2 linked regions of the Drosophila melanogaster genome follow. The protein of the gene in region 2 purifies or fractionates together with the protein of the main gene of each other region. This does not show direct contact. Each region holds a gene or a part of one and is shown on either strand. Other genes may lie near its edges. The genes, in order: pirk and mrj.

The links.
Region 1: the proteins of mrj (region 2) and pirk purify together in Drosophila melanogaster (affinity purification with mass spectrometry, with the first as the bait; one large-scale study listed by BioGRID). This does not show direct contact.

What each region holds. Positions count from the first base shown.
Region 1 is NT_033778.4:21,660,211-21,664,713, reverse strand, and holds pirk (poor Imd response upon knock-in), read left to right. Parts: upstream 1-1,718; 5' UTR 1,719-2,026; intron 2,027-2,209; 5' UTR 2,210-2,796; coding exon 2,797-3,390; 3' UTR 3,391-3,747; downstream 3,748-4,503. Other genes in the region: CG42362 (uncharacterized protein), read right to left, coding at 1-200.
Region 2 is NT_033778.4:16,218,779-16,223,826, forward strand, and holds the start of mrj (mrj), read right to left. Parts: upstream 3,016-5,048; 5' UTR 2,892-3,015; exon of another isoform or gene 2,858-2,891; intron 2,372-2,857; 5' UTR 2,345-2,371; intron 1,346-2,344; exon of another isoform or gene 1,274-1,345; intron 932-1,273; exon of another isoform or gene 860-931; intron 668-859; exon of another isoform or gene 596-667; intron 1-595. Other genes in the region: CG7798 (uncharacterized protein), read right to left, coding at 3,403-3,849; CG15706 (uncharacterized protein), read right to left, coding at 4,519-5,048.

The sequences.
Region 1 (4,503 bases), 5.4 Mb from region 2:
TTCTTCTTGATTTCTTTCGCCGCAAATCTTTCGACGGATCCTTCATCACAAACATTTGTCAAAGGCTTGCCGCCATTCAGTAAAATTTTCTGTAAGTGCTTCTCAAAATCAGACACAGAATACTCATTGCGTGTTTTTGTGCTTTCGAAATCTCCAGTGCTCTCAGTGCCAATAGTCAAAACATTCGAGTTGTTATTCATAATTGTTTATATTCCTACTACCGATTGGCGTTGGTGTTGTACACTAAAGTATGATTTCGTTATGGGAGCGCTTTTTATTTGCTTACTTATGAAATAAGCACCAATAAAAGCTCACGTCAATAGAGATGGGTTCTTTTTGTTTATAACAAACTGTGAATGGTTAGTAACATATGTTAGGGTGGTTCTTAAGAGTGTACTTAAAATCTAAATATATCTACTTCATTTAATTTCTTTTAAATAACGACTACATTAATTAATATAATGTCGCTTGACTCTGTTTCTATGTCCCTAAAAATTTGACTTCAAATTTTAGATGTTAAATAGATCACAAATTTTCACATTTACCTATTTGCTATTTTATATATTTACTTTACGAACTATTAGAGATGACATGATTTTGTTTATAAACGTTGTTTGTTTAAAAATCGGTGTGAATGGCAACGATTTCATTTTGGAGTGGACCTACCATTACAATACTAATTTAATCAATTAGCTGATTATACATTTCTAAATTTATACATTTTATAAACAATTTAAATAAAAAATAATTTAGATTTTTAACTGCATTGGCTATTTAAAATATTTGACATTAATAATAAATGCATTATCTTGTTATCTGACACATATGCAATATTAATGCTTTTAACACCCCATCAAAAGTATTAAAGTATCTGTCAGAACAAGTACATAACGTTCACTTATTTCGATCCAGAACATGAAACACAACAAAGCAACGCCTCGATCTTAATGAAAGATAAAACATCTGGCATCGGTGATTTTTTGGTCGGTGGGGCTTTAGTACCGGTATTAGACGCGTGCTAGATAGTGGCTGCAGGTGGTAACAGTTTTGATGGGTTATGGGTTGTGATCGAGGGGGTTTTTTCCTGGGCTCGCACAATTTCTCCATTTGTGTGCGCTGTAACTGCGCCGTGTCATATCTGATAATACACACGATTTGCCGTTATAACGCCTTCACACCGAACAAGGCTTCATACGATTATAGCTTTTCTTGAACTTTTGCTTTTGCTTGGCGAGCACACTTGAGATAGCTGCAAAAAAAGTCCCCGTTTACTGGCCCAAAACAGCGATCTGGCAAATAAATCATTTTATAATTTTCCGCAATAGATAATTGATTTGTCAACAGTGAATGCACCTTGAAAATAATAAAAAACGACCTTCTCGGCAATACACCCCTTTCATTTGTAGCCCCATAGCTGCGGTGCTTTCCCCGCACGAGTAAACATTATTGGGCCAACTGTTTAGATGCTAGCGTGTTTATTCAGCTGGCGATCTAGATACATATGTATGCTTGACTTGGCCGGGCTTTGCTCAGCTCCAGGCTTCCCAACCGACTGAGCTGGTCACTTGAACTGGCAACTCAGCTTGGAACGATCGCAGAAAATGACAAGATCGAGAATCGGAAGCTTTCGGGATATATATATAAGTAAACATATGTAAATTAAATCGAATGCCAATGAAGTCGATTGTGCAAATTACGGGTGAGATTTTTTTGTTTGTAAACAAACAGGCTCGTGAAGCATCTAGAGGAAATCATTGCCTCCGTTTCACAGATCTCACTTGGCAACTGCGTAAATATTTATCAATTTCTAGTGCTTAAAACTTTATCATCGGTTATCGTCGGTTATTACCCCTTTAGGTTGGGGTTGGTGGGTTTTTGACTCCGCGTTTACGACTCCCAAAAATGGAAATCAGCAACTATATCAGTGGACTTATTAATGATAAGAGAAGTTAACAAAAATCCCCATCAAAGTTGGGTCTGTACTGCATAAGTTGATAACAGTCTACACAGCGAAAAGTTACAATGCGTAAGTAAATAAATTCCACTTTGATGGGTCAAGACCCGAATAACACCCATTACTATTAGGGATAAGACTATAAGCACATCATTTTAGGAGAAACTATAAAACGATAAGATACAGTAATAATGTTTGAATTTACTGGTGCTGTTAACTAAATATATATTTAAACTTTATTACTATATGCTGAAGATTTGGCTAGCTCAAGTCGATGGACGAGCCCATTGCGAGGGCACCAACAGGTGGACATTACTCATGCCGAATAAATTCGGCGACCCAATCAAAGGTCTCCCCAGATGGCGAGATGCCTTTAAGTTCGCGACTCTCATGCATACGAGGTGATTTTCGTGCCGGCCCTCGGGCGAAATAAAAAAGCCCCGGCGCTAGACTCTCCGGCGGATATAAAAGCGGTTCCCGAGCGGCATTAGCGTTCAATAGCCAAAGTGCCAGCGAGCGAGCGAGCAGTAAGCACGGCGAAAGCGATACCAGAGATCGCCAAACTCAACGCACAATAAAAGTTCAGAAAACAGAGGGAGTTCCCCTGGCGGAAGCAGACGATCCCCCAGCGCTGAATTGAATACAAAAACAACACACACAATTGGATATCTTTGACCTTAGCCATCCGGATTGCTCATCATTCGGAGTCTTCCCCCAGCGACAGAGACGGAGATAGAGATAGGAAAAAGAGTTGGAGAATGAGCTAACCGACAGACTGGACGGTGATTTTTACGAGTGATTAGCAGCGGAAAGAAACGATACCGGCGGTAATTCACACCAAAATGGGCGTTCGTGTGATAGAAACCGATTCGGCGAGCGATTCGTATGACGATGACGAGTGCTCCACTTGCCAGAAAGAGCACGAGCAGGGTAAATCCCCCAATAAGAGCAAGAAAAGTTCCACGCCGCCGGAGACAACCATCTACGCCAGCAAGGATCTGGTGGGCAACTGCAAGGAGTACCGCATTGAGAACAACACGCGCGATCTCAGGATCATCGGCAATGGCAACCGCATACGGATTGTGAACAACTCCGGGCAACTGCAAGTAATCGGCAATAGCACCAGACTCAAGATCCAGAACAATAGCGGAGCCCTCAAGTACACGGGTAACGACGGAAGGATCTACCTGGGCAGCAGCTCCACGCAGCAGGTGGTCGACTACACGGGCTGCAATGGACTGCTCAAGGTGGTCAAGTCCCTGGATCTTAGCGGCGATGCCAAGAAAAGGCCCAGCTCTCGATCGAAAAACGCCAAGCCAACGCCAACGGATGCTGGCCAAGGCAAGTCCGGCGGCATTGAGATCGACAGCAATCTAACGATACGGCACGGAGCCGGGAACATTGTGATCAAGAATGCCATCAACGTGAGCATCTGAGAATCTTGAGCTCTCTAAGTCATCTTTGGCCAAAGATTAAGGATTAATGTAACGAAACTCTTGCCACCGAACGCAAAGGTTCCTATTGACTGCAAAATAGTCACTTAGTCTTAATGTGTCTTTCGACTGCTACCAATATTAACATCACCCTGCACATTCAGCAATGTCAAGTATTAAACGCCACGTCGCTAGTCTAAAAATCCATTACTATTCACAAAACACACCCACTGATTAGGGAAATATATGTATTGTATGTATATGTTTAGTCGTAACGCAGAAGCGCAGTGTGAACAAAGCCTAAACTTCATTCCGAGAATGAATAATCTGATTAAAAAATACAACTATATGTCTAAATATATATGTTTGCTGCGTTTTTCTTTGCATTTCTTGCTAAAAGAACAAAAAGTCCCCCAAAGACAACGTAACTTGCGTTTTCTTCGGAGCTTGGTAAACTACACAGATAAGTGCTTTCCTCAGCATAATGCGTACGCGACTATCTGCGGTCAAGTCGTACCATTGACAACTTCTAAGAACCACCAATTAATCACCACCATCGAGATGCTGATGCAATGGACACTGACCCATTTTCATTGTTACCGGAAAAAGCACCCGACGCTAGCCGATACAGGTACTGATTAATTAAATATATTTTGCTTTTCTATAGGTGCCGAATATCAATTCCCGGGGATTTTTTTTTTCGAGTTGACAGTTGGCATTGGTATACAAAGCAACAATTCATTACCGAAATACGAGTGCCACCTTTGCACTCACACTCACTGTTTACTCGAATGGCCGGAAAGAATTTCGAGAGATGCAAACTCAGGGTGCAATCAACCTCATTAATCTGTGGGAAACTCGAAAAGATACAGAGTGCAATTAAGATTGAGATAATTTCTTACTTTTGATTGGGATTAATTAATTAAGAAAATTGTTATCAACAACAATTTGAAGGTCGCTAATTAAAGCACACTATTCGAACGGCAAAATTATACATATTTATATAAGACAATAATAGATTTATATATAATGGTATATTTTCATTTCTTATAATTTATTTATATATAATATAAAATTCTTCAATAGAAAGGCAAGCAGGAGCACAAAGATATTTTT
Region 2 (5,048 bases):
AAAAATGGCAATTTGTACGCTTTGCCTTTTTCTCCGCTTCTTGCTCAATCGTATGTCTCACACGCGCTTCTAATGTCTGGATACGATACATAAGCTCGTTCAAGATGATGGCATATAAAAAGCTACACGAGTTTTTCAATTGACTTGGAAAGTGGCAAGCGACTGCCAGCATGCATCAAATGGATCGAGCCCCAGCGAAAAGTGGGCGTGATGGGCAACAACAATGGCTCACTGTTTTTTGGCTCTCGGCTTTGCCACACTTTTGATGAATTAGCCGTTTTTTTTCCATCGAGTGTCGGGGCTTGGAAAATTGAGTTGCAGCTGCAGCTTATGATGGAAGTGGTTGGCAGGGAGCGAGGAAGTTCGTTGAGCCGGATCATACCCAGCTGAGACTCATTAAAACACCACTTGAACCACGATTCGTGTTACACCGCCTCTAAGTGCAGGTCAATAAGTGGAGTTGTTGTCTGATTTTCAAGTCCAAGCCAGTTTATGCCTTTGTGCGATGCTATGGGAGAGAAATGGCTGGAAGAGCTTGATTGATGGGGATTCTCAAGCAGGGTAATTGATTTACTTATAAATAAAATAAAAATACTTCCCATACCGGGAATCGAACCCGGGCCTTCTGGGTGAAAGCCAGATATCCTAGCCACTAGACCATATGGGATATGTTCTACTTTCTTCCAAGTTATATAAACGTTTTTGTAGTTTTTCCTTGTTAAAAATGGTGCACGTACTTTATAAGGAATTTTATGCCTTGTTCATTTTTAAATTTATAAATAGAAAATATACAGTGGTGACTTTAAAACATGTCCTAAGAGGCAGACTAAGGACACACTTTAGTCACCTTCCAGACAAGTCCCATATTGTCTAGTGGTTAGGATATCCGGCTCTCACCCGGAAGGCCCGGGTTCGATTCCCGGTATGGGAAACTTTTTTGCCTAATTTCGCTTTTTTTTTATTTGTTACCATCAGAGGGTTAATAATTTTGGGCTTTGTTAAAGGGGTTGACTGACCATTATACAGAGGTGGTCAAAAGTATTTCCACAACGAGCTTTTTTTTTCAATTAGTTGACAATGGTTATTAGTTGACAATTGAAAAAAAAAGCTCGTTGTTCAAATACTTTTGACCACCTCTGTATATGTTTTCATTCCATATCTTAATTTTCTTGTATTAATAGTTTTTCCTGGGTTAAGCAAAATAAACAAATAAACACAAGGCATTCATTCATGTTGGCGAACAAAACGAGTCTTTGCTACAACACAGATAGCCTCCCATATGGTCTAGTGGCTAGGATATCTGGCTTTCACCCAGAAGGCCCGGGTTCGATTCCCGGTATGGGAAGAGTACTTTTTTTTTACTGCTTAAAATAATTGATAATTGATTTTCCACATATATTGAGCAGTCTTCAAGTCTATTGCTTTCGGTAATTGTATGTATTTATGTTTGTTTTTGCTTTTCTAGTGTGCTTTATTTCTTTGCAATTGCCTAGCGCCACCAATTGATGCCAATCGGACACGCTACGAAATAATTCGAGACTTTTTTATGGCCGTTGCTTTTCGTTGCCCCAAGTTGTCAATTGTTGATGTTTGTGCTTATGTAGAAAGAAATAAGAGAAAAGAAAAAGGAGGGAAAACGGTTTTGTTAACGACGGGCAAAAGCTCAAAGAGCCAGAGTACTTAACTTTTGTTAAACCGAAAATTAGGCATGCCCAGAATTGCAACATGTACTGGAAGCAACAGCAACAACGACAATAGCCTGCCGCAAAACGTGTGGCAAGCGAATAGCAGCAACAATAAAACGGGCACAATGCCTTGACTGAGTTTTGAACGTTTTTTTTAGTTTCTTTTTTTTGTAGTAGATACGGAAAATTGCTTTTTCATTGTTGCAGTAACCAATTTTTGGCTGTTATTGTTGTTATTTACAAGCTGACTTGGCAAACGGAAAATCAATTTTTAATTGCAACAAATTTGAGAGAGCTGCGGGACAGGCAAATTGCGAGTTGGCCAAAAAAGGCAAATTAAAGTAAGCGTTAACGAAAAACAATTGGCATTTTGAGTCAGAAACGGGTTTAACGGTATCGCAGAGGCAGCTGCAGTATCTTTTGAGGAAACACGCCGCCACATGTCAAAGGGGGACAGCAACAATATGTCAAAATCTCGATGAGCAGAGCAATGAACCGTTGTAATTAGCATACGTCCGCGTGCGTGCGTGTAACAGAGAGCACAATAGAGGCACTTTCGATTATTGAACTTGTTAAATTCCGCATTTCTCTGTTTGCGCTCGGTGCTTAGATTGTTTATTATTTGGTATTACGCTTATTCTTTTGCTTTGGTTGCTTACCTGGAAATGATCTCTTTCCTTTGGTGCCTAACCGAAAAACAAGCGAACAATTAATTTCATTAGAAGTATCTAACAAATGCGAATCCAACATGAGATATAGTAAAACAAGAAATAAGTGTGAGCAAATAAGATAAGCAACGCCGCGTGGGGAAAGAGAGAGAGAGAGAGCTGTTGGTGAGAGCGAGAACGACGCGAGTTGTTGGCGGAAACTCCTGTCGCAGCAAGCAGCAGCAACAACAACTACAGAACGGCGACAATTACGGCGCTTTATTGATTTTTTACAAAACAACTATTCGAACACGAAGCGTGCCGTTTGCATTTGAAACTCGGTTTTCAGCTTATATCGAGATTATTTAATGCACAACAAAACGGAGCACAAAAGAATTTCGCACACCAGCACAAGTTTTAAGCACTCACACACACACACATACGAAGCGACTTCAATGTCAACTTCACTTTTTGTATTTTTATCTACTGCTTCGCTATTTTTGGTTTTCTTTAGCAGTATTTAGTACTTTGAATTTAGTATTTAACTGCACTTTATTACCCGTCAGTCTGCACGCATCCGTGCGCTCGTTGGTCGAGAAACAAATTATTCAACCGCCACTTTGCTTTTGGCCAAGCGCGCTTTTCCCACAGCTGTTTTACTTAAGCGATAAAACGCAGCGACAACTATCAGTCGCCTGGCTATCGATTTGACCCAGGGAGGGGAGCAACTAGCTCTGCCAATCGAACTGGTTCCGAGCCGAAATTCAAAAATGTCATCGGTAAGATAACGTGTTTAGCTACATCCCTTTGGACATGTTTTCTACATGTTGACTTACATTTTACATTATATTTAATTTTATTAGCTTGGCGGTTAGTTTTGAATATAAATTGAAGGTAAAAAGGTATAGACCAGTTTTTTCTATTCTTGTTTACCAGATGATATATCGCACCACAATTGTTCGCTCTTTTAATGCTCATACTCATAAAATATATTGCTCTTTAATATTATAATATTTTATTCTGCATTTAGGTTCTTAAGTTTCGTATTTTTTTTAGCTTTTTACCGATGCTCAACCCGAATTTCTGTGTCGCCGCCGGAAGCAGTGATTCACATTGGGCTTGACACCCTGACATCGATTGTTCCAAGCCACCCAGGCGGAGAATCCTTGCTGTTTCCTGATGTACTTCGCACAGGCAATGGAATACCGGATATCGTCGCTCAACAGCAGGCGGCAGGGCAAGCGACACAGATCGTTGGATGGACGACCATCCGCCGGCTTGCACCAGTAACGATCGTTGATCTGGAAGAGACCCCAGTCCACGGATCCATCAACGTTCGAGGGATTGATGGCTTTTGTGTTGAACGAGCTCTCGCCCTCCACGAGGCACAGCCAATCGGGTAGCTCGTTGTAAGCCATTCCGTATCGATACAGCTGCCGGGCCAAACTGCATCTGCCCACCTGGCGGCCAGTGGCCAGTGATAGCGTTAAGAGCACCAGCAGCCAAATGGGCCACATCTTCCAGAAACAATGCAGGCTTCTAATGGTAACTCGTGGCTTATATAGCCATCCAGTTTGCTGCGAGATTCGGAGCACAACTTGGCCCAATCTAATTTTTACAAGCACTCATTTGGACAGCTCTGAAGTGTGGCCCACACTCGAGCATAAATTATCAACACTAGGCGACAAAGATTGGAAGTCATAACCATCTCCAATTCTTTTATTTTGTTGGAGCTATTTCGGAAAGGCTATTGCTCTGAGAAATCAGTAGATATATGGTTATTTTAGGGTGTAGAACTAAAACTACAATTCTCTAACTTAACTTAAATCCCAAACATGCAGATGAGTGTCAGACTTTCAATTCTCGATCATTGAAACAGGCCGATCGGGCCAGTTTCGTTAATATATGGAGTGGGAATCGCTCGCCATTTAAGCGAGGCATCTGCCTGGCCCCAGATTCACTTTCAATGGGTTCTTTTGTGCGATGCTCAGGTATTATATAACCATGTTGACAGCTGGAGGGGCCGGAGCACTTGAGATCGCGTGTGCGCCAACAATCGAACAAAAACCCCGAGAGAGCAAAGTCATTCAACTTTTGGACAACTTGTCGTTCTTTCTTTGTTTTTGTTTAACGTAAAAAATTAGTACAAAAATATGCAATAAAAATGGCATGTGTTGATACTATGTTTATCCCAAACGAATCTCCTCCATTTCCTGAGCGGGCGGCTGCTTGATCTCCTGTTCCGTTGGCGGCACATATCCCTGTCTCGGCAGGAATTGCCTCTTCCTGGATGTGGGACGTATAACGATGTGTGCTACGCATGTGCAAATGGCGGCTATGGCAAAGTATTTGAAGCTCTCTCGTCCGCCCAGGCTTTTGAACATAAGTCCGCCGATTAGGGATCCGATGGAGAAGCCAAGTCCATCGTCCATGCCGGCCATCAATCCTTGAACGGTGGCCGATGTTCCCGGAGGAGCCACCGCCGAGGCGTAGGCCACAATGCACGTATAGCACAGAGCATAGGTAATGCCCTGGAAAAAGAGCTCCACGCCCACCAGATACCAGGGATTGGGAATCCAGGCGATCAGCGACAGTCGCACAGCGTAGAAGAAAAAGCACATGCTCATGCAATGAACATAGCCCAGTTTTTTGATAATCTTTCCGCTGTAGAAGAAAAAGGGCACCTCGCCGGCCAGACACTCGGCGGCCACCACTA